Lytechinus pictus: one gene and its partner. The protein of the gene in region 1 purifies or fractionates together with the protein of each later gene. This does not show direct contact. Links are inferred from orthologs where the notes say so. Each region holds a gene or a part of one and is shown in the gene's direction. Other genes may lie near its edges. The genes, in order: cullin-associated NEDD8-dissociated protein 1-like and DCN1-like protein 3.

Region 1 (16,695 bases):
GAATGTCCATCTCTTCATAGGTCCATGATTGGACCAATCTTCATTTTCTCAAACGTTTAAAAAAGAAACCACAGTTTGAAGCAACAATTTATATTTAAAAATGCCTAGATATGATGAAATTTCCAAATTCTTGATCGAGTAAATAATATCGAGTTATAAACGGCTTTCAAAAGCTTTAGATTGTTTATTTACATTGATTTTCTTCTTAAAATGTACTTCCTGCCAAGCGAGGCTACGCGGTATTTTCACACGGAAAGACTAAATAAAAGTGACGTAATTGTCTTCTTTAAGATGGGCAGTAAAGAGCTAAACAATAAGGATATCATTCTTATGCACTTTTTTTTTCTTTTTCCTCCTGTTTTTTCTTTTTCCTTTTATTTTTCCACTTTTCTCCCTTTTCACTACTTGCAAAATCATAGGGAACAGACTTACTTTCCTCCTATATAACACTGTCCCTGTTGCAGCAAGCAAAGTACAGGTAGATCTGTAGGCCTAATAAAGTCTATTCAGGAAATAAAGAACTGAATAGTCGAACAACATCTGTTTTTATCTTGTTCTCAAATAGGCCTGCATACATTAAATAGAATGATGTTTGCTTGCATTCAGACCAATAATAATAAAAGATTATGAGCATAAGGCCCCTTTCTTTGAAAAAAAAAACCTTATTATTAAGCCTCGCAGCGGCTTAACGCTACACACTTGTAATGTATTGAATATTCGTACAATGGATTCTCGGAAATTAATTAGCAGCGAATAATATTGATTACAGGTGTAATGAGTTAAGAACATACACATCGGGATGCTTTGTAAAGATTATGACCGTCATGACCACTTGGTATCAACAATGATCGATGAAACAGGTGCACGCTGAAAATAGACATTCCACATCCGAACTAGACGCGCCATGCGGTTAAGTGGCCATCGTGTAAACACTATTCCGAGTTCAAATTCATTCATAGACTTTCACAGTGATGGAATCATCTCTTATGTGATTACTGAAAAGTCCACATGATTTCATTTGACGATCTGTCCCAGTTACAAGTATCAGTTGACATGATAATATGAATTGAAAAAAAAGATAAGATTTTGGCTTTGAATGAATAACCCATGATATTTTGTTCAATCAAAGCTATATACATGTATCCACCCACGGTTCTGTTTGTTTTATTGTTAATTCATATTTCATATATTGTAATGACCGAATTGATAATAAATACATAAATAAATAAATAAACATTTGGACGAACTTTGTTTTGACTAGAATATTTTTACATTTCAGTAAAATTAAAATGATCAAACGAGCTATGCGATGCTTTTGAATTCAATACCCTTATATACGTTTATGATACGACTTTCATTGTATCAATATTTTATCATTAAAAAAGAAAAGAAATGTGAAGGATATACTCTTCATATATAATATATATATATATGTGTAAAGTTATACATGTACAACAGCTTTGGCAACTCTTTTATTTAAATATTGTAAAGAAATGGATGAAGATATATATAATATATATATATATATATATATATATATATACACTGTAAATAATGAAGTGCTAATTTAGCACTTACAGTGCTTGCATAGTGACTGCACTACGAGTGCTGATTTTCAAAATTAAACTAGAAAATCAGCACTCGTATAGTGCAGTCACTATACAAGCACTGTAAGTGCTAAATTAGCACTTCCATTTTTACAGTGTATATATATATACATATACATATATATATATATATATATATATATATATATACTTGGAAGACAGAAATAACGATGATTGAGACGTATACCTAATATTATACCTAATTTATATATATGTAAATACTATGTTCGTTCCATCCGATTTCCTTTTTTTGTAGGCCTGACGAAGGCCGATGATGGCCGAAAGCTTGCAAAAAAAGGAAACCTGAGAGCTACGTCTCACTCGTCGTTATTTCTGTCTTCCAAGTTTATCTACACTAAATGATGAGTGCCTGCACTACTCGTTGTGCTGAGGGCCCCCTTACATTATATATATATATATATATATATATATATATATATATATATATATATATATATATATATATATACTCTTGACCCTCGCACAAAGACGAGATACGGTGATCGCTCTTTTTCTGTTATTGCCCCTACTCTGTGGAACAAGCTCCCAACTCATATCCAAAATGCTCCCTCTGTTGAAATGTTTAAATCCTCACTCGAAATTCCCATTTTCTCAACACTAGCATACTTTTTTAAAAATTCAATTAATGGGCTTATTGTTTACTTTAGTCAGCCAACATGTGCGCTCTGAAACACCCGTATACAAAGCGCCCTATAAATGTTGTTATTATTATTATTATTTCCAAATACCTGTCATTTTTGGTGAGGAATGTGGTATTTTAAGGCTTTATGGGTGTTGAAAATGTATGATTTATTTATCAATAAGGTTTATATCGGCATAGGTTTTTAAAATCCTACTCATATAAATGTATAGTTCTTGTTTCTGTTCTGAAAACAAAATTATTAATGCTTTATCTAAAAGAGTATCTCACCTAAAATAATTCCATTTCAGGGACTCTACCCATCATTTGTTTTCGTTTATGATTTGCTTTATGTATTCTTATCTACAAGTATATTTTGCATGGTGAAAATAAAACAAATAATTTTTTGGGTATGAATACTGTGAAATGAAATTTGAGAGAATTCCCTTCCTGGTATTCTTTATCACATATCGTCTGAGACCACGCATTTATCAACATGATTGGGTGGCATTAAAAAAAACACTTCCAAAATGTGAATGAAAAATCCGTTAGACCAATAGGGAGGCGAACATTATTCAAAAGTATCATCAAATATAATTATGTGCACGAATGCGGTTGTTATCGTGTCATTGTTTTATTAGCATATATTAAAATAACCGCACAAGAAATTCTTAAAACAAATATATATTGTCAATAAAGAATAAGCTTTCTGATTTTTGAAAACTTATAATTTTGCCTTCAATTTTTCCCACCTTTGTTAAATCACTGGTTTAATCAATTTTTCTCAAAAGACCGCGAACAAAAATTATTGTAGTTTGTGGTGACGCCAAATGATCTGTCGAAATCGTCTTTGTTAAATTATCAAGAAATTTCCATAAATTGTGTGTGTGTTTATCATACCTTGTCAAAAATGTGCCCTAAAAGTAGCTTTAACTTAAATCGATCTAGAAGTTAAATATCATTTATCAAAATGACATACCCTTTAAAAAATCGTTGTTTTGGATATTCGAAAACTTGCTAGATGATGATGAATGCCAGACTTACATGTGGCAACAATTACCGCTCATAGATTTTATTCCAGAGATTGCCATTCATTTATTAAACAGAAGAATGTTTTATTTTTCATTGACCTTAAAAACATACACTGAAATAAATTTAAAGTGATTTAGACAATTTTACGCATGTTAAGCTACAAAAAGCTACGAATTGTTTTGATTATTTTGATAATTTATGTGGGAGATTACTTGATATTTTGCAAAAATATACAACTTGGGTATAAATAATGCATAAGAAAATAACCTGACACGCACTCTATAAAATTGTGAAAAGATATAAAACGAAGAATGGGATTTTGGTTTTATTGACGTTACTCCTTGCAATGTAAAATACAATATGATCGGGGGAAGAGTATAATGGTTTTATTTTCTTGTGTGACACAGGGAAGTAGAATATACAAGTATTCATTTCATAGAGAAATATGACATTGTGTTTGTAGCTGGTGCATGGCTTTTTAAAAGTTGCATTTTACTTACCTTCCTTGTTTTGTGATAATCATCTCCGTATTATGCTGATGGAATTTCCGCCACAGGTCGCGGTTGCAGAGGTAAACTGACGCCTTCCCTGGCCCGTTGGCGACCTCGACGTGCTGGTGACCCGCTGGTGGAGGGTATGGCTGGCTGACGACATGGTTCGGAACGACACCCTTCGCATGTTCGTCCTCGTGGTCCTGCGAGGCGCCATTTGGGAGGTGACCGAAGGTATGGGGTGATGGCGGAACCAAAGAGGCGCCAATTAGCTGATGTGGTGGAGCACTGGTCGTCTGAAGTATTGGTGGTTTGTTTTCAACAAAGAATGGTGGTACTTGGACATCGTTATGTTCAAGTTCTTTCTTCATGTCGAATTCCTGCAACTGTTGTGGCTGTTGTAGCAACCTTTGGTGAATAGGATCGTGGCTTGCACAGATCGGCATTGAGGATTTTTCATCTGCACTGCAACGGCCCGATGCGGTTGTGTCGTGACTTGAAAACTCATTGGTGTCATGGAGATGGTGGATCAGTGCATTGCTATTTCCTGATGGGGTACCGATTTCGGATATTTGCTGGTGGGTTTGGTGTGTTCCCGACAGGTGCTGGAACCCATCTATGAAAGGCGACGTCCTTTGAATCACCTGTTGTTGACTGTGCGAAGTGGCGGGTGGCGGGGTGGGAATTCCAGTGAAGTTGGATACCGTGCAAGTATTCAACAGGTAGTGCGGTAAATTTGCCGGTTGCTGAGGCTGGTTTTGGAGAGATGACAGAGGACAATACCTCTGTAAATTCCCATGCAAATCATGATGGGTTCCAAAATCGTGTAAACTGTATGACTGTTCGGTGTTCCCATGTCCATTCCTCTGTAGTGACTCAGACTGTCTGTTTTCATCACAATTCTCTAGATTTGACTTGATCTCGCATAATTCAAATTTCGTTTTATTTTGGGAATCTGCTGATTTATCGACGATATTATCTGTTGATTCACCATTAAGATTCTCATCTTCAGAAACGCAAATATTTTCTTCTGGTTCTGTCTTTAGAAAGTTAGTCGTGTCTGTTGCTGCAGCCGCATGCTGAAATTCATCTCCCATCATAATCTTCTGAAGCCCAAAAAAATCTCGAAAAAAAGAAATCGCGCCAAATCAAAAGGCGCAAACGTGATAAAATTCAATCCCTTTAGGACAAAGTTGGAGTGCGAAAATTCGGTTAGCAGTCATGAATAAACAAAGAAGTGACAAGGCGTGAACGCTGATGAAATACCTCTCTTAAATGTTAACACTTTTCCTGAAATTCCCCTGGCGTGATGTGTGTGCGATCATCTCATTTGGGCGTGAGACGATGATGAACCGTCAAATTTGCAGGAACTGTCAAAATCCAACCTGCGAAACGTCTTTTACATGAAAAGACTGAACACAATAGTGAAGAAGTTAGTTAAACTTTGCCTGGATTGAGCATCGCATGCTATCATACACATTGACGTTTCGCTTGGTTGACTCTCTTTATATTACGTCATAAGTAAGGCACCACTCTTCGGGGACTTGTTAATGAGGCCTCCCTGTCTGATCTCGTGGGGCGACCAGACAATGGCGACTTGAACGCTGATTGGTCAAGAGGGAGGCACGCGACTTGAAAGTAACATTAGTTGACAAACGGATAAAAAGAATTGAGTTATAGAATTGGCATAGAAGATGATTGTTTATTTTGGAACTACCATATGCCAAGGGGTTTTGATGCTTATTTCATGGACAAACAGAAGACGATATATAAATTCCTTGATCTGCTAATTAATATACGTGTTCAGCTTTCTCTATCCTCCTCCTCCCGGGCCTCCTCCTCTCTTTCTTCTGCTCCTTTAAGCTATTAACTGCTTCCTTCATTTCTGAAAATTCATGCATTATTAGTAGCGGGAAGTTTTTCTTCAAGTCTTCTTCTTACTCTTCCCTTTATTATATTTCCAATATACTTCAAGATGATTAGGCCTACTATATACTACTACTACTACTACTACTACTACTACTACTACTACTACTACTACTACTACTACTACTACTACTACTACTACTACTGCTGCTGCTGCTGCTGCTGCTGCTGCTGCTATTGCTGCTGCTTCTACTACTACTACTACTATTACTACTATTGCTACTATACTACTACTACTACTACTACTACTACTACTACTACTACTACTACTACTACTACTACTACTACTACTACTACTACTACTACTACTACTACTACTCCTACTCCTACTACTACTACTACTACTACTACTACTACTACTACTACTACTACTACTACTACTACTACTACTGCTACTGCTACTTCTACTACTACTACTACTACTGCGACTACTGCGACTACTGCTACTATACTGCTACTACTGCTACTACTGCTACTACTACTACTACTACTACTACTACTACTACTACTACTACTACTACTACTGCTGCTGCTGCTGCTGCTGCTGCTGCTGCTGCTATTGCTGCTGCTTCTACTACTACTACTACTACTACTACTACTACTACTACTACTACTACTACTACTACTACTACTCCTACTACTACTACTACTACTGCTGCTGCTGCTGCTGCTGCTGCTGCTGCTGCTTCTACTACTACTACTACTACTACTACTACTACTACTACTGTTACTACTACTACTACTACTACTACTTCTACTACTACTACTACTACTACTACTACTACTACTACTACTACTACTACTACTACTGCTACTACTACTACTAATACAAGTAGTGCCTACTACTATTATACTACAATCATAAATGTTTTCGTAAAAAGTAGCTACCGCCTCTACTTTTCTATTAATTTTTTTAATGCTCGAAAAACAGTCATTGATGCTGTGACTTTTCTTGGTTTCAAGTCGTACGTACACAGCGTGGTAAATGGTTCTTATCTTAAATCAAAGAGTAAAACATAATAATATGACGGTGATTCTCGAATCCCCCTTGCTTTCTAGGAATGTGTTCTCAAGCCTCTTCCTCATCAGGGGGTCATTTCAAGGAAGTCTTCTCTCATGACATCATGAATAAATAATTAGTGGTCGAAGTTCAAATCCGACCGGAAGGGATTAGATGACCACTCACCAGACAGGAAAAGGTCAATGACCGCTTTGTGTTATCACCATTGGGTATACGGAACGCGCGTAGCAATCTCATATACACCTAATTATTTTGTTTTGACAGCAGTGGCGTACAGATGGGGGCCCTTGGGATGCTTGTCCCCCCAAAAAAAAATCACGACCAAGAAAAAAAAAGGAAAGAGAGAAGAGTGAAATATGATATTACTTTCTGAAAATTATGTAAAAATATATCACAAAACTTGATATTTATTATTAAATTGAAAATATTAAAAATAAATTTTGCCCAATACGCCATATCTAGCCCCTCAATGCCTTTGGGCTCATTACGACACTGTTTGAAAGTGTAGCATTTGCACGCCAATAGACGTTGTTAATAATATTGTAAAGTTTGGCGAGCGATTGCCTAGACAAATTAAGGGGGAATTCAGATGTAAAGAATTATGCCCATTGTGATAATGATGGTAAAGTTTATAGTGTACATGTAAAGCTATTCTCCGTATAAACGTGTATATATATATATATATATATATATATATATATATATATATGTGTGTGAAGTTATACATGTACTACAGCTTTGGCAACTCTTTTATTTAAATATTGTGTGAAAGAAATGGATGAAGAGAACAATGGTAGGCGTAGCTTAAATCAAGGTTCCCCAGAGCAATGTTTTATACATAGCAATGTTTTCCCGGCTTTAAGCCAGGAGCTCTGGGGAACCTTGATTTAAGCTACGCCTACCATTGTTCTCTTCATCCATTTCTTTCACACAATATATATATATATATATATATATATATATATATATATATATATATATATATATATACAAAACTGACGTATAGCCCATATTCAGTTTTGTCAACATGACAATACAGTTCTTCCATGGGGTCCATATACAATAAAAAAATAAACACATATGAAAAGAAGCATAACATATACAGTAATCAAACAAAATAACACAAAGGACATACTACAGCCTGGTTTGAGCATCGGGAGGTGAACATCTTGGGGAGGTGGAACTAATCCGCTGTTGAAAGCAGAAGAAGGGGTCCAAATTTCATTTTGCTTGCCAGTGTCGGAACTCCTCTGTCTCAGCGGGAGAGTGCACGGTGCACTCAGTGCACCCCCAGCCTATACGCCCTTGCGACCTGTTGCTAATATATGAAAGATTATGAAATTCAATAATTTGGCAAGATTTTACACAAAATCGTTTTATGAAATGCATTAAGCTGCTATCAAATTATTGAAACAAGTTTTTCACAAGGAGCAAAGGACTGTTGTATATATAGGTAAGAAATAATACACTCTAAATTCCAAGGATTTAAAATAAATCCAGATCGGCTGTGAATAGTGACCAGCTGAATATTAGATTTAGATTTAAACCTTGTTGATTTAGATATAAATCTAAAAGATTTAAATCTAAATCTTTTGAGATTTAATAGTTAATCCTTAAGATTCAAATGAATTTTAAAAAGATTTGGCTGGTCACTATTCACAGCCGATCTGGATTTATTTTAAATCCTTGGAATTTAGAGTGTAAAATTATAGGCCTACAATAATTATTGTGGAAAGCCATATAACACAGTTTATTTGTTCACGCATACAGTTTTTAAGAGCCGGACAGCTAAAGTTGAGGGCAAAAATATTGTTAAAGGGAATTAATAAAAAAAAAGTTGTATTAATGTTGATGGTGACTATTCTGCTTAGATGATGGATTAATAAAAACAACACAATAATGAAAAATAAGCAATAGCATCAATGATGATAAGTACAATGGTTTTAATTATGATATCGATAATCGCTAAAATAATGATAATGACATTTTTCCTTCGTTATCCTTTGATGTTTTTTTTTTTATTCTTCCTCCTTCATTTTCTTGTTTTCTTCTATTTTTCTGTTCTTCTTCTTAGTTTCATTTCCCTTCTCTCCTTTGGTTTCTCGTCCTTTTCTCTTTCTGTTTCTCAGTTCCTTTTCTTTCTTCAACTTTATTTCACGTTTTCACCCAAAATGTGAATAGAGATAAAAATGAAAATTTTGGAGCGACCCCTTGCTTGTCTATTTTTCTTGCAGAGAAACTTAGAAAGTATTGAATTTTTATAGACTTAATATTTTGACAGCCCCCTGAAAAAAAAATTCAACGAGCGAGTAGGCCTATTGCTCATAGTTATGAAGCTATACTTTTATAGATGATTGAAACACAAATTAATATTATTCTCTGTAACCGATGAAGAATCTCGAATTATTAGAGGCAAGATACCAGCTTTTGATTCACTAAAAATTAAAGATCATTTTGGTCCCGAGAAATTTCACAAGGCCCCCCTCCCCCACAACGGAGAGGGGTTCTCTATAAAATGAAGGTCATTTTTATCAATTTTTTCACACCTACCAGACCTCCAGGGGTGCTGCCTATGGAGAATAATACACGCAGCACCCCCGGAAAAATCTTGGGGTGCTTCAGCGGGGTTACAGGGGTAGGGCCATGTGGGACTTACTTATCGAGGAGTAAAAAAATAAAAGAATATAATAATTTTGGAAATAATGTATCTTCATCTTCTGCTGATAATGAAATCGAAAATAAGTTCAGCTCGATCGTTCTCGCGCATGCGCGTAAGAGTTGACAGTGCCATGTTGATCTTGTGAACTCAGATCATCTTCTATTAGGACTATTCTGCTTTACCTATAACCTTTTGAGACGTTCATCATCAATCTGGGTTAAGGAAAATCAGGAAACCATGGCAAGCTTCTCTTACATCATCTCCAATCTCTTGGAGAAGGTAATGGATACAAATTTTGTGTATTGTTCAGAGCAGCGTAATTTGCCGGGTACTGCCCAATTTCAGTCCCACACGTTGCGTACGGCGTATGTAACTCAGCGCAGTTAGTAAGGGAACACGGCTCCGCCGCCAAATTATTGTCGGCGTCGCGTCGGTGGAGTTCAGCCTCGGGATTCTTGTGAATGTGTGCGCGGCCAAGAATAATCGGGTTACCGTTGGTATAAGGTTCCAAATATTTCAAACAAACAGAGCAACAAAAAATAAAGTTTCCATTTATACTATACTATAGAGTCTTGCATCAATTTCATGATTCTATCTGTCCGTTATTCATTTATTGACCATGATCTGTTGTCACGTTGAAGAATTTTTTAAAAATAAAAATTGAAAAAGAGAGAAAGTTATAATTGTGACAAGTATGGAAATACTCTACAAGAGGGACATACTATAATGTAAGAAGAAGAAGGAAAAAAATAACCGGGTTCCAGTCTATCCATGCAATGGCAATGCAAAAAAGGTAAAATGCAAACTCGTTAGTTCGCCATCGGTAATATTTAATCAGCAGTGTTCAAACTTCAACTTTGCCAAAAAAAATTATACTTATAGTCTACCCAAATATGCGTATGAGATAAAAGTATCCACAAATTCTCTCAAATATTCAATTTTTCCCCTGATATATTGCATTTTTAAAAGTAAGAACGTCACGTACTTCCAGACCAGATCAATGATGGGTTTGCATGATAGGGTATAATTTAAAATGTTAATGCACCCTTTATTTGACATGTGCCAAGATTTAACATTCAATCTTGTTTTCACAAGCCAGCACTTATCCAATCATCACAACATTTTGTCATGGAATGAAGTTAAGTTGCGCAATCATAGGGCCGATTGGCAAGCCAGCTAGACAATTGAAGCCATGCAGTATTGTGATTGTCCTGCTTCATGATCGGCTCATTGGTAATGCGCAACAGCTTTCCTTAACAAAAGCCAAAATGGTGGTGTAAACATTGCCAGATTTTCTTTCTGGTTCGTCAGATATAATTTTTAAATACAGTAAAGAGGTTCTTGATTGATTCATAATAAGTTGAAATAATGGTAATTTCATACATGTATGTTCAAAGTTTAGTCAAATCCTGTTTTTCCATTACAGGTTTAAAATCCCATTTGATATCATGAAAGAAATAAATTATAAGTGTGATATGAGTTGGTCCCTCATTAGCATAGTGCTTGTGTTAGCTACATTGTTTTGCGATGTAGAAGTCTAGGCAAAAGTTAAAAGTGCTATTAAAACATTTTGATGTACACCTGATTTTGATGAAATTTTCATTGTTATGCTTGTTTGAGTGAAAACTATTTGTCATTTGGATGGACTTGCCTTCAAACAAAATAATGGTTAAAAAGTCAGGAATATAATTGACCTGTAGATGAATTTTTATTTTCTGAGGAGACAAAGTTTTCAGCCCTGATTTAATTAAGTCTCAATATTGTAATGTTTTCATATTTTGCAATCTTTCCCATTTACATTACAAATCCTTTTCCAAGTATGTTATTTTTTTATTGGGTACATGTACATACATGTAGACCACGTGATTTGCTGGGATGGCTTTCAGTTGTAGCTTTTGGGAATGGCAGGATCATGATTCATTTACTTGATGGGATAGTCCCTCATGCAGCTAAAAAAACTTGATAACTCTCTCCCCAGTTTATCCTTTTTTTTCTAAAGCCCCCTTTTTAAGAATCATTTTCTGTCTTGGTATGTTTTATTGCACATCACACAATCTAGTACCGGTAATTAATAGTTATATTTGGATTTGAAAAAAAACCCAACAAATTATTATATTAATTTTCTATACAGATGACGTCCAGTGATAAGGATTTTCGGTTTATGGCAACTAATGATCTGATGACTGAGCTTCAGAAAGACTCCATCAAGCTTGATGATGACAGTGAGAAAAAGGTAAGTACTGTAATTTTCCCAGCATGATTTACAACAGGGAAAAACTTACACAGTGTTTTAGGGTGATCTGCCAGCCAAAGTGTCACAATAGGCCTGATAGGTTTAGCCCCTATGTGTTTAATAGAAAAGATACCGGTAAATTGTGTAAGAATGAATTATTGTGATCATTTTTTTTGAAAAACTAAATCAAAATAAAACCTGCATTGAAACTAATGATTTTTTGGATGATGTTTGCTTGAGGTAGAATTTTTGTTGAACGTTTCTACCCCCACCCCCCCCCCAAGACAGTTGAGAATTGATAACAAAATTACGTTCATAGCTAAGGCCAAGAAATTGAATGTACTGTAAACTACCACATAAATGTCCATGGTTGGTGGCTGCAATCCCTTTGGGAATTTACAATAATAGGAAATAAAACTCAAGTATACATGCATGATAGATATTAGCTCCAATGAAAAGCTCTCATGGAAAGTGATTTAAGGTTTTGCACCACCTATTGTACATCCCTAATTTATATTTGACACTTCCATTTTGTTAAGAAATTTACATGATTTTTGTGATATGTAAGATATTGGTATACTTTATTGCTATCAATGGGCATCATGGCACAATAAACATTAAGTACTATTATTTGTGTTGTTACCCATGGAGCAAGCTGGGATAGGCGTTCATAAAGAGATTGTGGATTTCAAATTTCAGTAGATTTTTGAAATCCTAGTGCAATTGTTTTTATTTTCAATTTACGATTATCAGTACTTACTTATTCTTTAATCAACATAAAGCATACACACAAGTTAGGCCTGATGCATGAAGATTGGTTATTGACGTGTGTATTTGCCCATTATGAATATTGTAACCCCTTTCCCCTAGGTTTGAGTTCATAATTTGTTTCAAATTTTTCTCATAAAAATCCAGGTGGTGAGGATGCTCTTGAAGTTGTTGGAAGATAAGAATGGAGAAGTCCAGAACTTGGCCGTCAAATGGTAAAATATATATTCCATTGTTGTGAGATTATGTAGAAATTCCTACTTGTATGAGAGTTTTTCAACTTGTTCAACAGGTCTTTGATAATAGTTTAAAGTTAGATTAAAGTTTAGAATCCAAAACAATGGTCTTGCTGCTGTAGAGATAAATGATATAAAACTTAGATTTCATTTTCTTCTACTCACCCCTCCACTCTCCAACTTGGGGGGGGGGGGGACATTTAAAAGAAAATGATATCTGTGAAAATGATGTAATGGTCGCAATTGTGATTTTTTGTTAGATTTGGATGTCAGATACATGTGATGTAGTTCACAGTATTGGTTCATTGTCAAAATTTTTGACACACTTTTAGCATAACTAAAGGTGGAATATTTAAAGATTTGTTTTATTTTATGACTCCTGCATAAATTGATGGAAATATGAATTCATATGTAATCATATTGCCCAAAGCTAGTAAGTACTGATGATATGAATACAAATTGATTGGAAATCAGGGGATGCAATATTTACAATGAATTGTATCTTTTTGTTCATGGTTTTCCATAGACAGAAGACGTACATGTGCAGTTACACTGATTTGTACAATTGATTTTATATTTCACGTTACAGGGCCCAGGACAAAGTAATTTATTATTCTATTTTGAACATTTTACAAATTAAGTGACTTTTACCACAATCTTATTATTGATTCATTTCAGCTTGGGTCCATTAGTGTCAAAGGTCAAGGAGTACCAAGTGGAGACGATTGTGGATACACTGTGTAACAATATGCTCTCAGATAAAGAACAACTGAGAGATATCTCCAGCATTGGTAAGTAGCATTAACTCTTTGGATATACATGGAAAGCCAAGTGCTATCAATCTCTGAAGGAAGGGTATAAATACCAAGTAGGCCCCCTCCCCCCAAAGAAATGTTTGTTGTAAGGTTGGTAGCTCTTTTTTGTCTCGATTGAACTAAGTTCAGCAGAGACCTAGTGATCAGTTTTCCTGATGGTCTGTTAGTCTGTTACAAAAATTTAAAAGTTTTTGTTTAACTTGCTCTCGTTTCTTTGTTTCTGCATCAATTGCGTTCATACTTGGTACAAATGATTCCTGGGTAATATCACATTTGTGGAGATAGAGATGGCGAGGGCAAAGGTCATCTAGGAGTAAAAAGGTCATTTTGCAGGTTTTAATAATCACAAAAATGAGGCGAGACAAGTGGTTTGTTAACCATCTTGTTTTTGGTTATTTATTTTTATGTTTTAGGTAAGATGATATGAAAACACTTGACTTATTATTTTCTTGTTTGTGTGGGAGAGACTCCTTGCAGAAAATAGAGTCATGTGCATTCACATTACACAAAAATAAATATATTTTTGTATTCTTAGTTACAAAAAACTTGCTTATTCAAATAAAAAGAAAATTGAGAGACTACCTTATTTCTGAATACATGTACTTGGCATACATGCCATGTATACATGCCATGTACTATGCTGACAGTTTTGACTGGCTTATGTGTGAACAGCGATGTCTGTCATGCAGCTATATGTACTCGTATCTGTTACCATGTTTATGACAGCCAGTGTAATTGAGCATACATACATGTACACCCTTTAGTTGATGAAGGTGGGGTAATATGATAGGATGGTAAGGATAGGTTTCATGCATGCTAAAGATGACTGTGATGGGCAAAGACTGTAAAAGTTGTTTACAACGCTTGATTCTCTCTTAATAGTTGTTATATAGATATTATTTTAGAACTTTTTTCAATTTTAAAGATTATCTCCCTTTACATCCTATTAATTGGCATACTGTATTTAAGGATCTATCAGAATTTCATTGTTTCCTTGGTCAATGTGGAACGTATTTTATCCTTTTTTAAATTTTGCCAATTAATTAAATCAAGCACTTATGGGTTTTAAAATACAATAATTTTACGGCTCGGCAACTTTTCTATTGGGCATGTCTATATTACTGCTCAACTTGAAATTAGATAAATATTATCTCTGGTTTCATTCATATTTGAGGGGTTGATATGGATATACAATTTTTTTTAAAGAGACATGTCCATATCCCCAAAATGAAAAGAAGTCCTCAAGCAAGTACATCCTGATATCGGTATCTCCAATGGAGCCATGAACATTGTAACAATGTTGATGTTCAAGAATTAATGAGGTTAAGAACATTGATGTATCATGTGGAAAAAAAAATGAGGTTAGAATCATTGGTTATAAATGATTTATTTTTATATTTTGTAACATAGGTCTGAAGACAGTCATCAATGAACTGCCACCTGCTTCCAGCCCTTTGGCAGCTAACATATGTAAGAGCATCACTGGCAGGCTAACCAATGCCATTGCCATGGTAAGTATGCTTTCTCACTTTCTTAGTATGAAGAATGTCGATATTAGAGGTTTCATGAAAGATTATGGTATGCCCCGCCCCCCTCCCCTAGATATTTTTACCCATTCTTACAGCAGAATGAGCAGAATCTTTGAGAAACTGATTTTCCCTGATCAATATAGCATTTACAAAATGCAATCTGCTGAATTGTGAATTAAAATCAGAAGTTGATTATATGTTATTTATTTTTAAATGACAACTAAATTTTATTTTCTTTCTTTTGTTTGTTTCCAGCAAGAGGATGTGTCAGTCAAATTGGAAGCCCTAGACATCTTGGGTGATCTTCTCAGCAGATTTGGAGGTAATTGGGAAAAATATTTTGATGGTCTGTCTTGAAAGATCTGTCACTTACTGAAGTCTAAAGATACCATCTGCTTCTGACAATTTCTTGGTCAGGTGGCAACAGACAGCAGCAAAGTATTTGTTCTTGTCATGAATACTTATTGGAAAAAAAAGCACTCTCTGGGTCTCATAAAAAAATCGTACAAGTGATTGTACACTGCTTAATGCAATCAATAGCTAAATTTGTTCCACGATCGAGTGCAATGCTTTGTGTTACAGCATCCTGTTAACTTCTAAATGTATTCATAAACCAGCTAAAAAAAATGAGTTGACTGAATAGCTTTGAATATCATGGCCATTTACCATTTGCGACATTCATCATGGAAGAGCCGTGGTGTAGTGGTTCTGACTCTCGCCTTGTAAACAGAGGGTCGTGTGTTCGAATCCCACCGCGGTCTAGCGTCCTTTGGCAAGGCTTTAATCCACACTTTGCCACTCTCGACCCAGGTGCTAAATGGGTACCCGGTAGGATGCGAAAGATATTGTACGTTTAAATTTGCCAGCGCCATTATGAGGCTGCGATGAATGCAAGGAATGCTCCCCAGGGAGTGGAAATTGTGCACTTTTCGTGCGGGATTGAAATGAATCCAATGACCGGGGTAATAATATGCCGTAACGCGCTTTGAGCCATTCTGGGAAAAGCGCTATATAAAAATTGGCTATTCTTATTATTATTATCATGAAATTCAATAAATGAGGAGAAAAACTACAGAAAAGGCAATAATGAGAAATATCATTGCTTAATTTGGGCCAGTTTCAGTTGATGTTTACTACCACAAACTTTGGTAAGTTGGTTAAAAAGTCTCTTTCCAAATATATTTGATTAATTTTGAAGTCATTTGTTTTCTTTTGGTTTGATATCATTTTTCTGAATGTATTCATTTCAGTATATGATATTTTGGAGATACATGTCCTTGAAATATCTTGAAGCCCTTAGAAATATTGATGTTCTCATTTTGTTTGATTTCTCCATTATTAAGGTCTGTTAGTGAGTTTCCATCCATCAATCCAATCCTCCCTTCTTCCTCAGCTTGCTAGTCCAAGGATGGCTGTCAGAAAACGAACTATCATTGCTATTGGTAAGTCTTCTCTGTTTGTCATTGTGAACATCTGCATTTGTTATCAGACTATTCCTTTCCATGAATCTTAAGTGGTACATAGTCGCAAAGCCTACAGCCAAAATTCATGAAAAGTGTGGTAGGTTTTGTCACATACATGTAATCTAGCTAGATGCTGAAGTTACAAATGTCACAGAATACATTTTTCAGAATAAAAACTCTTCTATTCCTTTAATACACTGGACTATGTCAGTCTTGTCGAGATGTCAGTCTTCAGGATTTGCAGGCTTTATATTTTTCAACTAATGTGAGACTTT
Region 2 (15,775 bases), on another chromosome or scaffold:
CAAGTTTGGGTGAAAAGTGACTTATGGTTGCAGAGTTCTTGGTGTCATAAGAGTCTTAAACATAAACATTGACCTGAAAATGACCTTTGACCTTACCATGTGACCTCCGACCAAAACATAATATGCAGGTCCCCCAAGTACATCTACTATCCAAGTTTGGTTGAAAAGTGAATGACTTTTTACCTAAAAACCATGTGACCTCTGACCGCAGCATGACATGCAGGTCTCCTATATAAAGTACAGTTCATCTACAATCTAAGTTTGGGTGAAAAGTGACTTAAAGGACAAGTCCACCCCAACAAAAACTTGATTCGAATAAAAAGAGAAAAATTCAACAAGCATAACATCAAAATCGGATGTAAAATAAGAAAGTTATGACATTTTTTAATTTCGCTTCATTTCACAAAAGAGTTATATGCGTTGTAAATCGGATCAAAAATCGGATCGGCAGTTAAGCTTCTAAAATCGAAATCGAATCGAAAATCGAATCGGCGATGTAAAAAACAAAGGAATACATCAAAATGTTGTTCGCGGTCGCGCGCATCTTCCTGACAAAGTCACAAAGACGAATGCATTGGAATGGAAGTCGCCAACATGCGCGATCGTTTGGAACATGTTTTAAAGCCAGGGGTTTTGAGGTGTTATTGCTTTAAAATAAACCGAGTGATTTTTATTAGAAAGATAAACGAAAGACGCATCTTCCGAGCAAAGGCGCAAAGGAAAATAAAAAGAAAATATTTCTCATAGATCACTGGTTAATGAACGATCGGCGGGACATCTTTTAGAAGTATTTTTAGGTGCTAGCGATTAAGAATTATTGGAATGATCTCTTACGACGCATCATCTTAAAGTCGCAAGTGCAATTAAAATGAAGTAGACGACGCAAGCACGCACGATGATTTGAAATATGTTATTAAAATGTTTTGGGTAGCTAGCGTTTTCAAATCAATTTGAAGTTCACGGCGGGGTCCGCTATCACCACGAGGTTGAAGAGAAGATGTCTATCATCATAAAGGGGGTAAGAGAGTAACGCAATAAGCTCCGTCTGTAGCACGATCTTTAAAAGGTCACGGCGGGGTCCGCTATCACCACGAGGTTGAAAATAAAATGTAAATCATCATAAACGATGTAAGAGAGTAACGCAATAAGCTCCGTCAATAGTACAGTCTTTAAAAGTTTCTGGCAGGGTCCGCTATCACCACGAGGTTGAAGAGAAGATTTATATCATTATAAGCGATGTAAGAGAGTAGCGCAGTGAGCTCCGTCGGTAATACGACCTTTCAAAGTTCACGGCGGCTTCCGCTATCACCACGAGGTTGAAAATAAAATGAATATCATCATAAACGATGTAAGAGAGTAACGCAATAAGCTCCGTCAGTAGCACGATCTTTAAAAGTTCACGGCGGAGTCCGCTATCACCACGAGGTTTAAAATAAAATGTAAATCATCATAAACGATGTAAGAGAGTAACGCAATGAGCTCCGTCAATAGTACGACCTTTCAAAGTTCACGGCGGCATCCGCTATCACCACGAGGTTGAAAATAAAATGTATATCATCATAAACGATGTAAGAGAGTAACGCAATAAGCTCCGTCAGTAGCACGATCTTTAAAAGTTCACGGCGGGGTCCGCTATCACCACGAGGTTGAAAATAAAATGTAAATCATCATAAACGATGTAAGAGAGTAACGCAATGAGCTCCGTCAATAGTACGACCTTTCAAAGTTCACGGCGGCATCCGCTATCACCACGAGGTTGAAAATAAAATGTATATCATCATAAACGATGTAAGAGAGTAACGCAATAAGCTCCGTCAATAGTACAGTCTTTAAAAGTTTCTGGTGGGGTCCGCTATCACCACGAGGTTGAAGAGAAGATTTATATCATTATAAACGATGTAAGAGAGTAGCGCAGTGAGCTCCGTCGGTAATACGACCTTTCAAAGTTCACGGCGGCTTCCGCTATCACCACGAGGTTGAAAATAAAATGAATATCATCATAAATGATGTAAGAGAGTAACGCAATAAGCTCCGTCAATAGTACAGTCTTTAAAAGTTTCTGGCGGGGTCCGCTATCACCACGAGGTTGAAGAGAAGATTTATATCATTATAAACGATGTAAGAGAGTAGCGCAGTGAGCTCCGTCGGTAATACGACCTTTCAAAGTTCACGGCGGCTTCCGCTATCACCACGAGGTTGAAAATAAAATGAATATCATCATAAACGATGTAAGAGAGCAACGCAATAAGCTCCGTCAATAGTACAGTCTTTAAAAGTTAATGGCGGGGTCCGCTATCACCACGAGGTTGAAGAGAAGATTTATATCATTATAAAGGGGGTAAGAGAGTAGCGCAGTGAGCTCCGTCGGTAATACGACCTTTCAAAAATCACGGCGGCATCCGCTATCACCACGAGGTTGAAAATAAAATGTATATAATCATAAACGATGTAAGAGAGTAACGCAGTGAGCTCCGTCGGTAATATGACCTTTCAAAGTTCACGGCGGCATCCGCTATCACCATGAGTTGGAAGAGAAGATATCTATCCCCTTAAACATTGCCATAGATAATACCGTGACTTTCTCCCTGAATAATGCGACCTCTAAATAGCTAGCGCCTCAAAAACAATCTTGAAATATGTTCTGAGCGATCACGCACTGTAACCAGATCTACGCCGATTTTTTATTTTCGATTTTTTTCCTTCAAGGGGCATGATCGAAGATCGGCAAGTGATTGCCGATTGTGGTGAAATCGAATGGAATCGGTTGCCGATTGCAAAATCGGTTATCGGTATGCAAATGAGGGAACTGATGACATCACTCACTCACTATTTCTTTTGTATTTTATTATATGAATTATGAAATATTTTGATTTTCTCGTCATTGTCAGGTGAAATGAAATTTCATTCCTCCCTGAATACATGGAATTCCATTATTGTAACATTTTGTGGTTCAGGCAAGGAGGTCCTAATCGTCAAATTCGTAAAAATTGAAATATTGTATAATTCAAACAATAAAAAACAAAAGAAATAGTGAGTGAGTGACATCATCGACTCTCTAATTTGGATGTAACTGGCTCGTTCATATAACTATTCTGTTAAAAATAAGCGAAACTTTGAAATGTCATAACTTTCTTATTTTACATCCGATTTTGATGAAATTTTCAGCATTGTGCTTGTCTGATTTTTCTCTATTGATTCAAATCAACATTTTGTTGGGGTGGACTTGACCTTTAAGATTGCAGAGTTAGGTGTCATAAGAGAGGCTTGCATGTAAACTTAAACGTTGACCTGAAAATGACCTTTGAACTTACCATGTGACCTCCGACCGCAGCATAACATGCAGGTCCCCCAAGTACATCTACAATCCAAGTTTTGTTGAAAAGTGACTTACGGTTGGGGAGTTATGTGTCAAGAGAGTCTTGCACGTAAAGTTTAACGTTGAACTGAAAATGATCTTTGACCTTTAATACACGTGACCTCCGGCTGCAGCATAACATGCAGGTCCACTATTCTACCATCCAATTCGGTTAAAAAGTGATTTTGATTTTGATAAAAAATTTCCAGCATCTTGCTCAGTGAATTTTACTCTTTTTATGTAGATTATTTTCAGCAGAGTACCCCTTTAAAACTTCATCTTGATAAGGTATAAAACTGAAGTTATCTCGTACCATGCTCGTACTTACATGTCCATGTAGACACTTATTTTTTTGTGTCTGTTGTTATAATCTACTATTAAATATCCTTGCATCTGATTGGCTCAAAGCAGAAAAACCCCAGCTTTCATTGCATGCCAGATCATAATTCATTATGTTCCTTATACATGGAAGATGATTTGTTTTATTAATCATTTTAATATTTGTTTTGTTATAAAATTCCTCTTTTTGCAGCATCTTTTTGTATCTTTTATTTTGAAAAGGTTTTATTAAGATCTAAAATAAATCTATGTGTAATGATTTAAACAAAAGGAGTGCAGTCCTTTTATTCATTAATTTTTGGTTTGTCTTTTGGCTATTATTGGTGAGCAGGATAGGAAATTATTGTTGTTTTTTAGAGGCTATCTTTTTATCCACGTTGGAGCAATTGCAGTAATTATTTGGGGGGCTATTTCTTTTGTTGTAAGGGCTACTTTTTATTAAGGGTAACGGGCAATTAAGCAGTAAAAGCAAACATCATTATTGTGCTATAACCTAGGAATAGAATATTGATTTTCTATAAATTAATCTTGAATATTGTTTGTTACAGATCTTAGTGCGACTCTAGAATGAATGGTCACTCCAAAGCTTGCATTTTGAGGGAATTTTAGGGTTGATTTGGGCTGTCATGAGGGCATGAGTCCTCATGTATTTCCTATTCTGTTTGTGAGACATATCTGATAATTTATTAAAACTGATTGTCTTCCTAACTGTCGCGTAATATAGAATTATCAAGACATGATGAAAAATACAAGTACATTGTAGGCCTAATTACATATTATTGATTTGCATTATAAAGAGCACTAGAAAGTTCTACAGGAGCTGTGAATAGTGAGGTACAGTTGCCATAGTAACAATGCCATCTGTTCTCATCACGTCAGTGTGGTAATAGACTTTTGCGATTTACATTTTTATAAAAAAAAGCTATTGATGTGATTGACAAATTCACAATGAATGTTATCATGGCTGATGCGCAATGTACTAGACATTGTACATGTATGTATGTACCTGGCGTGTGTGTGTATTAATTGAACATAAACAGTGGGCTTATTTATGCTGTATCCTTGGTAACAAATATAAATTTTAGTGTTTAGTAGACAAAAGGGAGCATTAGTCACAATCCCTCAAAATATGTACTGAAACACGCAACCACATATTTCTGATTCTGCAAGTACATGTATCCCAGATGTTTTTTTTTTGTTAGGATAATATCCAATTTCTGTATGTATTTCCACATCCTCTTGGTGTATTCACCCTTTACATTCACTAGTGTATCCTGTCAAACATGAACAAAAAAGATGAGTGAATGAACTCTATAAAGTATAAGCACATTATATCCCTTTTCCTTTTAATATATTTTGTCTCATTTCCTGACCCCCCCCCCCCCCCCCCCTTTCTCTGAATTTTCATTTTTTGCAACCTTCCTGTATTAAAACATACCATGCTTATCCAAAAAAAAAAAAAACTTTTTGGTCCCAAGCAATAGCCTGGGCCTGTCTAATGCTGGTAATTTCTTCTCTAAAATTAAAGGCATCAGAATCAATAACATGTAGGAATCTATACATGTGTGTTATCATTGAAAAAAAAGGGTTGTTAATTGGAATAATTGATTTCCAACACTATATGATGTACGTGTATGATGTTTGCTCAATTTAATTTTCCAGATTTGCCTTGACATTCATGCAGATATTGAGCAGTCACAGTTATGTAAGGGTACATACATACAGTACATGTACACCCAATCAATTACCAGGCTGCCGTTCCAAGAAACAAGTGTTAAAGCATGCATTCTAACATGGTGGCACAGGGGTCCTATTATTGAGACAAAGATATTTTTGCTCCAGTTTTTCTAGACTCATTGTGTGACATTTAAGGTGTGAAATGCATGTAGAGTGCATGTAATTGATTTTCCGGCCATTTGAACATTCAACAGGAAAATCATGTTGGCAGACGGGTGTGTTGACATGTGTACACTATGAGAAATTTCTGCCTTTATATAAAGCAAACATTTCCCTTTTTTAATATTTGAATCCTTGAATGAAAGATTTCTGGGCTTACATTTTTGCTATAAAACTGTTTTAAGGTTCCAACCCCTGACTATGATACATGTGCTAGAGAAGGCCTTTTTGTGTGTTTCAAAAATCACTATATATTTTCTGCTTCTGTACATCACTGCTGAATGTGTTGTTATATCAAAGAAAGTACATTCACTTCAATATGGTTCACAGATCTTACGTACATGTATGTAAAACTGAACAAAGTATTATACATGAATTGCAGTGTGACAAACAATTATATTATCATCATTCATCACTATATACACTTCCTTGTGGTGTGGGAAAAACATGATAAAATAGGAAGGGGAGTGTATGAAAACATGCTGTACAGTCTCTTAATACCACTTCGTATTCCTAATGCAATGCAAGCATGCGTAAGAGTTCAATAATGTTCTCACGTCGGAAGTCAGAACGTCAGAGATGTACATGTACATGACATGTAGGCCCACATAGTATGTAATCGTCTTCCATCGCAATAATAGGCAAATTTTCCAGTAAAACATACTGCTCATTGTGTGTCATACATGTGGAAAAAATAATATTAGAGATCATTAGAAAACTTGTCACATCACCTCATGACATCGTGGTTCAACTTCACAGTTCAAAGTGAACAAGCATGAATACAAGATGCATTGCAATGAATATGACAAGCATACACTACAGTATCATCATTCATCACTAGTTAATTAATCAAGTGCAGCACCACTGTATCTAGTGATGTGGGAGAAAACGTGAGAAAATAGGAGCAGGGGGGGTATGAAAACAACATCTATCATCTTTACTTCTATACCAGTATGCAATGCAAGCTTGTCTGCCCCATGGAGATGTATGCAAGCAAGGAGCTTCTTGATACAAGTAGAATCAGTGGCACAAATTGTATTATGGATGCATGGATGAGAACTGTAATTGGGAGTTTGAAATGATACTTTTAGAGCCAAATCATTGTCCTTTGATGGAAGGAGGAGTCGGGCATTGACGTATATTCGCGTGTGTTAACTTGAAGGATTGCATTAAATTATCCAATGATGGGCAGACTTGGAGAGTGAATAATACGTGCTTTGAATCATCAGTGGGATATCAAACCATGAAGCATGACTGTATTGAGAAAAGGGATGAATTTTTGATCTCTGCTATCTTTATAGTGTACATTGCAATTTAGTGGAATCAGGAAGCCCTGTTTCTTTTAATAATGAACACATCCTTGCATAAACACTGCTCATTTTGTGTAGGCTGTTCTTTTTTATATGCAAAGGTGTTGTTTTGATGAAATTTTTTGTGTTGCATGTTTGAACTTTTGTCTGTTTTCAGGTCATCTTGTTATTGGAATTGAATACAGGTAGATTTAAAGAATGAAATGCACATTTTGATATTTATAAAGGTACATAACATTGCAATAATTTGCAATAAATTGCAACAGATTTCCTCTACACTCGCTCCTGACCTGCGTTGGAGCTTTTGCTTTTGTTTTGTTTGATTTTGATTAGAAATTGTAAGAGAAAAAGGAAAGAAAGAAAGAAAAAAAAATGATGGGGTGAATGAGTGAGAGATGAAGATATTTGGGAGGGGGTTGAAAGAAAAGAGAGAAAGTACATGCTTCTATGTACAATGTAGGGGGTATAGAACCTAAAGAAACAAATTTGCATAATAATAGGCAATATTTATTTTGGAAAAAAAGCTTTGTATCCTGATCAGCTATGGAGCAGCTGTATTTCTAGATTGAAGTTTATATTTAAGTAATCAAATGTCCACTAGTTAGATAGTATTGTGTAATTTATTGAGCTATATTTTATTATGTCTGGGCAGTGGCAATCTGTCAGAAAAAAAGACATGCTAGCCAGACTTAACTTTATGTACAATTTGAACCAGTGAACTATTGAATTACTGACCATTTTCATCTATACCTTCCGTTTAATGAGTGTAAATTGAAAAAAAATGTGGCACACATATTGTTTGTCACAAAGTGTTCTCTGTATTTGTACAGGTTTTTTAGCAGCTGTACTCTATCATAACACAACCGTAACTTGACCCCTTTTTATATCAAAGACAGACTCTCCATGCTGGTGATATGGTTCAAGTTCACTTCTGAACCAAAATAAAATGGGTAGTCTTTGTGATACATGTACATGTACATTGTAGGCTACATGTAGATTGTCTGTTATGATTTGTTCTTTATATTAATAATGATCTGGATATTATTAACATTTCTCAATCACTTTTTGACAGTTTTGTAACTCCACAATTTACAGTTTATCACTACTGAAATAATGGATCTTGGTCTGTCTTGCACACACAGAGAATATACAGGGTGTATTCACATTCTCTACTACCTGGGAGTACAGTATTCCAGCAATGCACCTGCTCATGCATAACAATATTCAATGGACGACTCATTAGGATGAATGAAACTGATTTAGAAAGTATTTGTGTGTTGGTGATATACATGCACATTTAGTTGGTTGGACGAGAGGTAGAGGGATGGTCATTTTGCTTGCCCATCGTGAGTGGCTCAAGAAGACTGGCTGAATTACTCCCCAGGGAATGAAGAATGTGCATACATTGTCAATTAGATTTTGTTTCTGGATGCTATACAATGTACAGTACACATTATTTGTATCATACTTGTATATTAATTTTCACTTTGTTGTACCTTTTTATTTTCCCAGATCTGTCCTGATGTTATTAATTTGAGGGACCTCTCCTCTATATGACCTTGTTTTGGTCCACACAACCCCAGTGCTCACCTATGGTCCCCAGGCTATCTTGCCCGGCGCCATCCACCAAGCCACCCTCATGGGCAAGTGTTTCTCCGTCTGCAACCCAGGTTCAACCAACGTGGAAGAGCAGAATGGCAAGAACAAAGCACAACTCCCTCCCAAGCCCCCTCATCATGCCACAGCTATAGAGCACCCTACTGCCCAACCAGTTCAGTACGTCCAACATATCAGCACAACCGGAGGCCGTGCAGGCAACCTCCCTCTCCGTCCTGCTGGGGACTCGAATAATGGTAGTCACAGCAGACCTGCGCATGACACGCACAAGCAGTTCCCCCGACAAAACGGTGTAGAGACAAACGCAGCCATGAAGTCAGACTTCTCTGAGCGAAAGGCAAACAAACTCTTTGAAAAATATAAAGATAATTCTGAGGATGCCATTTTGGCGGAAGGCACCGAAAGATTTTGTCAGGACCTTAAGGTCAGTCCAGAGGATTTTATAGTACTAGTCATTGCATGGAAGTTTCAGGCGGCAGTCATGTGCCGCTTCACGCGGACTGAATTCATCCAAGGTTGTCGCACCCTACGTGCTGACTCCATCAATGCTATCAAAGCCAAGTTTCCAGAACTGCGACACGAGGTCAAGACGAATGAAGCCATGTTCAAGGATCTTTATCGGTACACATTCGGCTTTGGCTTGGACACTGAAGGGGGCCAGAGAACTTTACCTTGTGAGATTGCAATACCTCTATGGAAGCTTGTCTTCTTCTACCGACAACCCCCTATCCTAGATCGCTGGTGCAATTTCCTGACTGCTAACCATGTTAAAGGTATATCAAGAGACACATGGCAGATGTTTCTGCACTTTGTAGAGGTCATTAAAGATAATCTCAGTAACTATGACGACAACGAAGCCTGGCCTAGCCTTTTTGATGACTTTGTGGAATATGAAAATGATAGATTGAAAACCGAAAATCAAGGTGGAAAGGAGGATGACGACCAAGAGGAAACTCATCTAGTGTAAAAAGAATATTAGGGATACCCATATTTTTAATTCATTTTCACTTGTTTTATTTGTGTCTTCTCCTTTTTCCTAATGCAAGGTGCTCCATTTGCTTCTTCATGGCCCTTTCAATTGCTGACATTAGTTTCAAAATAAGCAGTTACTTTTGTTTGACTGATATTCCAGTGACCAAGAATCTTACTCTCTTATTTTATTAGTATGATATTTTTGTGAACAAAGAAAAAAACTTGGGAGACTTCCATAATAACATGCACGGAAGAGTATAAAATGTAGATGTGCGTATTATGCAGCATCTTGTTGTAACGTATTTTTCTTAAAGCAGGAAATGTAATGACATGCAGGGATTATTCTTTACAAACCTTGGTCAAAACATGATCATATTTAAACGCATTTTTATCTTTGATACAGAAGATTAAGTTATCAGAATCCAAAGAATGCATTTGTACTTCTTGGTACTTGGATATATTTATTAATGGGTTTCCACATTATGTAGCCCTTAATTATTTGTAGAATGCATGTTTCAATGCTAAAATCCACATAAATATTCAGACTCAAAAACCTTCTATAACTTTGGAATGTTTTAAAATGTGTTTCATAAAATTACACCTACATGTACATGTATAAACTGCTCTTATGATTATCTGGAAGTTTAAGTGCCAAATTAGAGCCTAAACTTTGGCTGAAGTCTCATTAATTTTTTCATGTACTTCAAATGAAATTCCTGTGAATTTATTGCAAAATATACCGGTAGTCACAGAAACACGGCAAAATATAGTCATACACATGTACTGTAGACTTGGCATAAAAATATGTTTTCATAGGGAGAATGGTACTTATTCAAGAACTTTAATATAATGCAACTAAAAATGGTTGGTTGAAGAACAATCGCTTTCCATATCCCATCTGTTAATAAAGGCATTTGTAACTTTCTTTAATAAAAACAGCGTTATGATACACCCTTCCCCTTGAAGTATTGTAATGCACTTCAGAATTGTCAAACTTCATATTAATTTCTGGAAGATGTGATCACCCGACTCAAAGCCTACAATAAGTTTTTAAAAATAATTTTCATAAGTATCCCAATTAGAAGAGCACATTTTATGATTTAATTTGACAAAATTGATCGACCAAAGCCCATATAAATATTATGGATTTTAGATTTCTCATTCTTGACGCACAATCTTCTAATTGGGGGGAAAATATATATATATTTTTTTTGCATGAATAAGGAGGAGAACTCAGCATCTACATGTATGGAGGAAAGATTATGTGTCATATGAGGTTTCAGGGAGAGATTAAAAGAAGAAGAAAACTGTTTAATATTTAGAGCCCAACTGACTTTTCTGGCATGTTACATTGTCTTTTTGTAGCTTTGAGCTGGTTGGTCAAAGAGGTAATCACTGTCACATACATGTAGTCCCCTTTAGTCATATGACTTTTTGAAATTTGAAAAGCTTTCCCAAGTGCAATGTTTGAAAATATTTTTTCTGAATGTAAAACTGTTGGATTCTACATGTATTTTACATGTATCTGAAATCTGTAAATGATCTTCCTCCTGGGAGAGGGTGAAGAGGGGGGGGGGGGGGGGGGTCACTGAATATTATTGCTCGACAAGTTACATGTAATACCAAAAATGGTAAAACTTGTACTTTTTGCTGGTCAAAGGATTTTGGACCTATCTCAGACAGTATAAACTTCCAAGAGTTGATAATTTGTCCTTTAAAAGATGTATTACTTTGGATACAATGTACAAGTATGATTCGGAAGTAAATACAGTAAATTAAATTTCTTGCATTAATGGATAAATGTTAATAATTTTTGTGAAGGTTGAAATCAAAACAGTTAGGTTGACATGATAGACTCAACAGTTGCCCATTGTAGGGTTCATGTACCTGTATTAAAGGGTTTTTTTTTTTTTTTGGTATGATTATAAGTACCTCACAAAAATCATATAATGGAACTAAATGTCAGAGAATATAGATACAAATAACAAATGGGTTATACTTCAAATAACCTCCTCTTGTGCAGTGTATTTATTCAGTACTACTGATGTTTAATATTGAAAATTATTTTTAATATCGATTTTGAAATTATTTTAACATCGTTTTGCATTGTTGAGATATGAGGGGTTTGGCTGAACCCAATCATCATAAAATATGTTTGATTACGTTTTAACTTGCATTATGTTCATGTATTTGGATGTTTCATTTATAGCTTCTATAATGTGGATGACAACTCGGTAAATTAATAGACGAGATAAATAAAATGCTGCATCTCAATTAGATTTATAAAGAAAACAAAACGTGTTAAAGAAAATAGAAACAAGATTTTTCTTATCAATCAATTTGAGAACTGTTGATATGAAACTGTCTTCAACATGTATGCATAATCGAGCTTAATAACCTCTTTTTTGAAAGAATTATAATAGCAGTCTATGAACTGCATGTCATATTTAATTTTATCTATATTGACAAACACATTACGACCCCATTTCTCCCATGCCTTGAAAGGTTTCTTTCCTATTCGTCTAATGCCTATTCATCCAATTGCCAACTCGTCTACTATTATTTGGTCTACCATCAATTCGTCCACTATCCACCACATGGTCTAATTGCAAATTCGTCTACTCACCATTTCGTCTAATAACCAGTTGGTCCAATGGCCATTTAGTCCATATACCATTTGGGCTAAGTGTTAATTGTGCAAAATGAATGAAAATGAAATTATTAGACCAACTGGTTATGAGACGAAATGGTCATAGACGAAATGGTGATTAGACAAAGTGATGATTGGACCAAATGGTTATTGAACCAAATGGTTGTTAGACGAAATGTTGATGGACGGAATGGCATTAGACTAAATGAAATAGACCATGAGGTGAGTGGACGAATTGGCAATTTACCCGTTGAAATCATCAGATCCCATCTTTATTCATAATACAGACCTGCATGTATTTAAAAATATTCCTTTTCCCAGTAATGCCTGACATAGCAGGATATAATCAATTGCAAATTTATTGTTTTTATTTATTGAACTTTTCTATGTAGGGACACACATTCTGTCCTTTATTACAATCCTGATTTTGAGGGTTTTTTTTTTTTCATCTGCACATGTCGTTGTTTCATTGTGATTTTTGAAAGAAGATATTTTGTGACTTACCTGTTTTTCAGTTGAATATCCAAACTTGTCAGATTTTATTCTATTCTTTTATGCACATGGTAAATTTTATTTAAAAAAGCATGTGAAAGAAGTGGTATATTACAATTAAGGATGTAGTTGAGATTGGATTTGAGGCATCAGTTGCTACAGTCTTGGCATCAGCCATAGAATAGGCGTAAATGTACAAAGTCAGAACCCTCATCCACAACTCCATAGATCTCAGTATCTCTCCTTTGTTTATTTTGTGCTGATTTTTTATCATAAGATTAATCTTAATTTAAGCCTACTTATCATTTTTATTCATGCTCAGTTTTCACTTGTGAATGTTATTTCATCTTGGGTCATTTTTTCCACTTTGTTTTCCATGTTTGTGTGAGCAGAAACTTAAAACAATTTTGTACAGGTTACAAATCTTATTGTCTTTAAATACACTCAGACACTTTTGAGAAGTGTCATCATTTTTTAATAAGTTTATAATTTTCTGATTATTGTACAAAGTAAGATTACTATTTTTATTTAATATTTAAGAAAAGTTAAGAAACTTTATATGTGTTTTGTATATGCATATACTCTTGTGATGTATTTCAACATTTTTATACATGTACACCAAGTTCATATTGAATCATTGAATATTTGTAGAATGCTGATATGTGTGTTGTGTTTAAGTCCAAAGAAATATCCTTTCATCATATAAAAAATTAATGTGTTGTGAAAGTAGAATTGTTTGTTCACTGATACACATATTTTGCTATAATTCCAGTTCTACCCGTATGAGAGCGATCAAGCATTTTAAAAACTAGAACTATGTAGAATTCACTACACTCTTCCAAGATTCGTGGATACATTGAATTCTAAGTAAGACTAATGACAGTGTTTGCTCTCAATATACATGACTTAATCTTGTTGCCTTGGCAACCAATCATTAACTTTTCTTCACTTGAGAAGTACATGTAGCAGTTAATCCTTTTAATACTTTACAGAGTTTCAATCTTTATTACACAAATGAAAGTGAAATAGAAAAAAATTTCATTGCTTCATCTTAACAGTCTCCATTGCCATATTGATCATGAATGTAACTGAAATAGATTGTAAAAAAATAGAAATAAATGTACCCTCTATAACAAATGTACCTCCAATTTGCATGATCAAAATCTCATCTCCATCTTCTGTGAAAAAGCAACAAATTTTTTTTTTTCTTAGAATATTCATTTTTCCAAGACAAGTATCCATGGGTGCATTAAGGCTACTTTAGCAAAGGCAGAATCATCGCAAACACACTCCCACAGAGTGTTTTTAATATTACGGTATTGTGTTTAGGTGAATTCGCAAAAGTGCATTGCGTGTTCTGTATTGACCCAGAAGAAAAGAAAATGTTGGGCATGTGCTTTTACCAAAAGAGTAGTGTTATATTGCGATCTTGATCAAACAACAACGTGATGTAATGATGTTGTTTTAAGCATTTAGAATTGACGCTATGTACATTGTTGCATCCCCAGGAACCGTCTTTTTGAGGAATGCTGATCGCACATGTACATGTAAAATTGTTAAGAGTTAACAATCTTCATTTAGACAAGAATGGGGAAAATGCTTAACTTAACATGTGTCAAAAGCCAAAGTATTGCCTGAAAATGGGAATTGTACACTGTAAAAAGGCACCCATAGGCAAATGCAAGGATACAGTGTACATAACATACCATCTCGGAATGTGGAAACGAAATGTCTGGCCTGGAAGATTAGTCGGGAACGATCGGAATTAATAGGAATTAGTACACTGAAGGAGTGATCAAAGCACAAAGGTGAATTTTTGTGAATAAATCCTCAGATTTTCTAATGAATAAGGAAACATATTTCTTTGTTCTGAGCTTTTAAATGTTCAGTGATCAGGAATGGTTCCAAAATAGATCGTCACATCTTTCTGCACTATGTGCACAGTAATTGCAGTTTTCTTTGACCTTCTGATTTGGATATAACTTTATGAATGTTAATATGTCTTGTAGCTTTCAGATTGTAACAATTACAACTATAAGTATACATAATTTTGCTGCGAGTTTACTTAAAATCGGTCCGTTGATCATACTCATATGCTCAAAATCCACAAATTTTATTTTTAAATTTGATTGTCATGTATTGAGTTTTTATTCTATCCACTTGCAAATTTGTTGAACAGGTCTTCATGTCATATGGACACCTGTATATAGTTTGCTTTTGAGAACATTCAGATTGTTGAAATAATACATGCACCATTGACATTGTTATATTCCAAACTTGTTAATACTTGTTCCTACAATAGAAACTTGGAATAACGAGACCTGGGGCCGGTTAAAGAAAGAGTTCAAATGAATTGCACCTCAAAAATATCAAAGGCAGTTTGAATTTTGACCAATCAGAATTACACATTTTAGACTTGTGCTCAATTTTTTTAGTTATGTTTTGCATTCAACACTTTCTGCAATTAGGCCCCAGTTCAAGTTGGATCATCAAAATATCTTGACGGATTATTAAAAATACACAGAAAAACACAGAAAAACACACTATCATTTAAATGGTAAGTAACAGGATTGTTTACTACCATGTTACACAATCGCCACATTTCTGTGTTGTTTTGGAATCCAATCATGTTGAGTGGTATTATGAAGTATGCTTGTCCTTCTCAGTTAAAAATCATTTTGATATTGCAATTTTGTATCAATCTGGTGTTGTGCAGGTAAGCTTTGCCATCAACCAAAGACCAACATCAAACCTTGTTATGAAACATTTTAGACTGCATGTATTGATAAAAAATTCTTCTGTGGGGAATGTTAAATGTGACTTAAAGTTATGCTTTCATGCCAATGCACAGATGATATTTAATGTGCAATTTTATTGATCAGAACGTTGTAAAGCACGTCTACTTTACACAATACCAATGCAGTGTTGTGTTTTATAATGCACGCAAACAGGAATTTAAGTGATTTTTAAAGAGATGGGGGGTACAGTACATGCCTATGATAATCTGATGAATAATAGTTGTCTAAACTTTTCTGTGATTTTGCAACATTTTGTGGTCAAACTGAATAGTCGTCAGTGTAGTCATAGTCACATGGCATTTTGTAATTATTCCATGCATAATGAGGCCATTCTTCAATTTATCAT

Evidence for each region.
Region 2: the proteins of cullin-associated NEDD8-dissociated protein 1-like (region 1) and DCN1-like protein 3 purify together in Homo sapiens (affinity purification with western blotting; 3 studies listed by BioGRID, with this or other methods). This does not show direct contact. The link is inferred for Lytechinus pictus from reciprocal best matches to the Homo sapiens genes CAND1 and DCUN1D3.

Annotation. Positions count from the first base shown.
Region 1 is NC_087245.1:25,053,823-25,070,517, reverse strand, and holds the start of cullin-associated NEDD8-dissociated protein 1-like, read left to right. Parts: upstream 1-9,468; 5' UTR 9,469-9,613; coding exon 9,614-9,655; intron 9,656-11,507; coding exon 11,508-11,609; intron 11,610-12,524; coding exon 12,525-12,592; intron 12,593-13,291; coding exon 13,292-13,404; intron 13,405-14,838; coding exon 14,839-14,939; intron 14,940-15,212; coding exon 15,213-15,279; intron 15,280-16,300; coding exon 16,301-16,399; intron 16,400-16,695. Other genes in the region: T-box protein 1-like, read right to left, coding at 3,780-4,870. UniProt on the Homo sapiens protein: Key assembly factor of SCF (SKP1-CUL1-F-box protein) E3 ubiquitin ligase complexes that promotes the exchange of the substrate-recognition F-box subunit in SCF complexes, thereby playing a key role in the cellular repertoire of SCF complexes.
Region 2 is NC_087254.1:25,572,656-25,588,430, reverse strand, and holds the start of DCN1-like protein 3, read left to right. Parts: upstream 1-8,416; 5' UTR 8,417-8,539; coding exon 8,540-9,484; 3' UTR 9,485-15,775. UniProt on the Homo sapiens protein: Contributes to the neddylation of all cullins by transferring NEDD8 from N-terminally acetylated NEDD8-conjugating E2s enzyme to different cullin C-terminal domain-RBX complexes and may play a role in the cell cycle progression by regulating the SCF ubiquitin E3 ligase complex, after UV damage.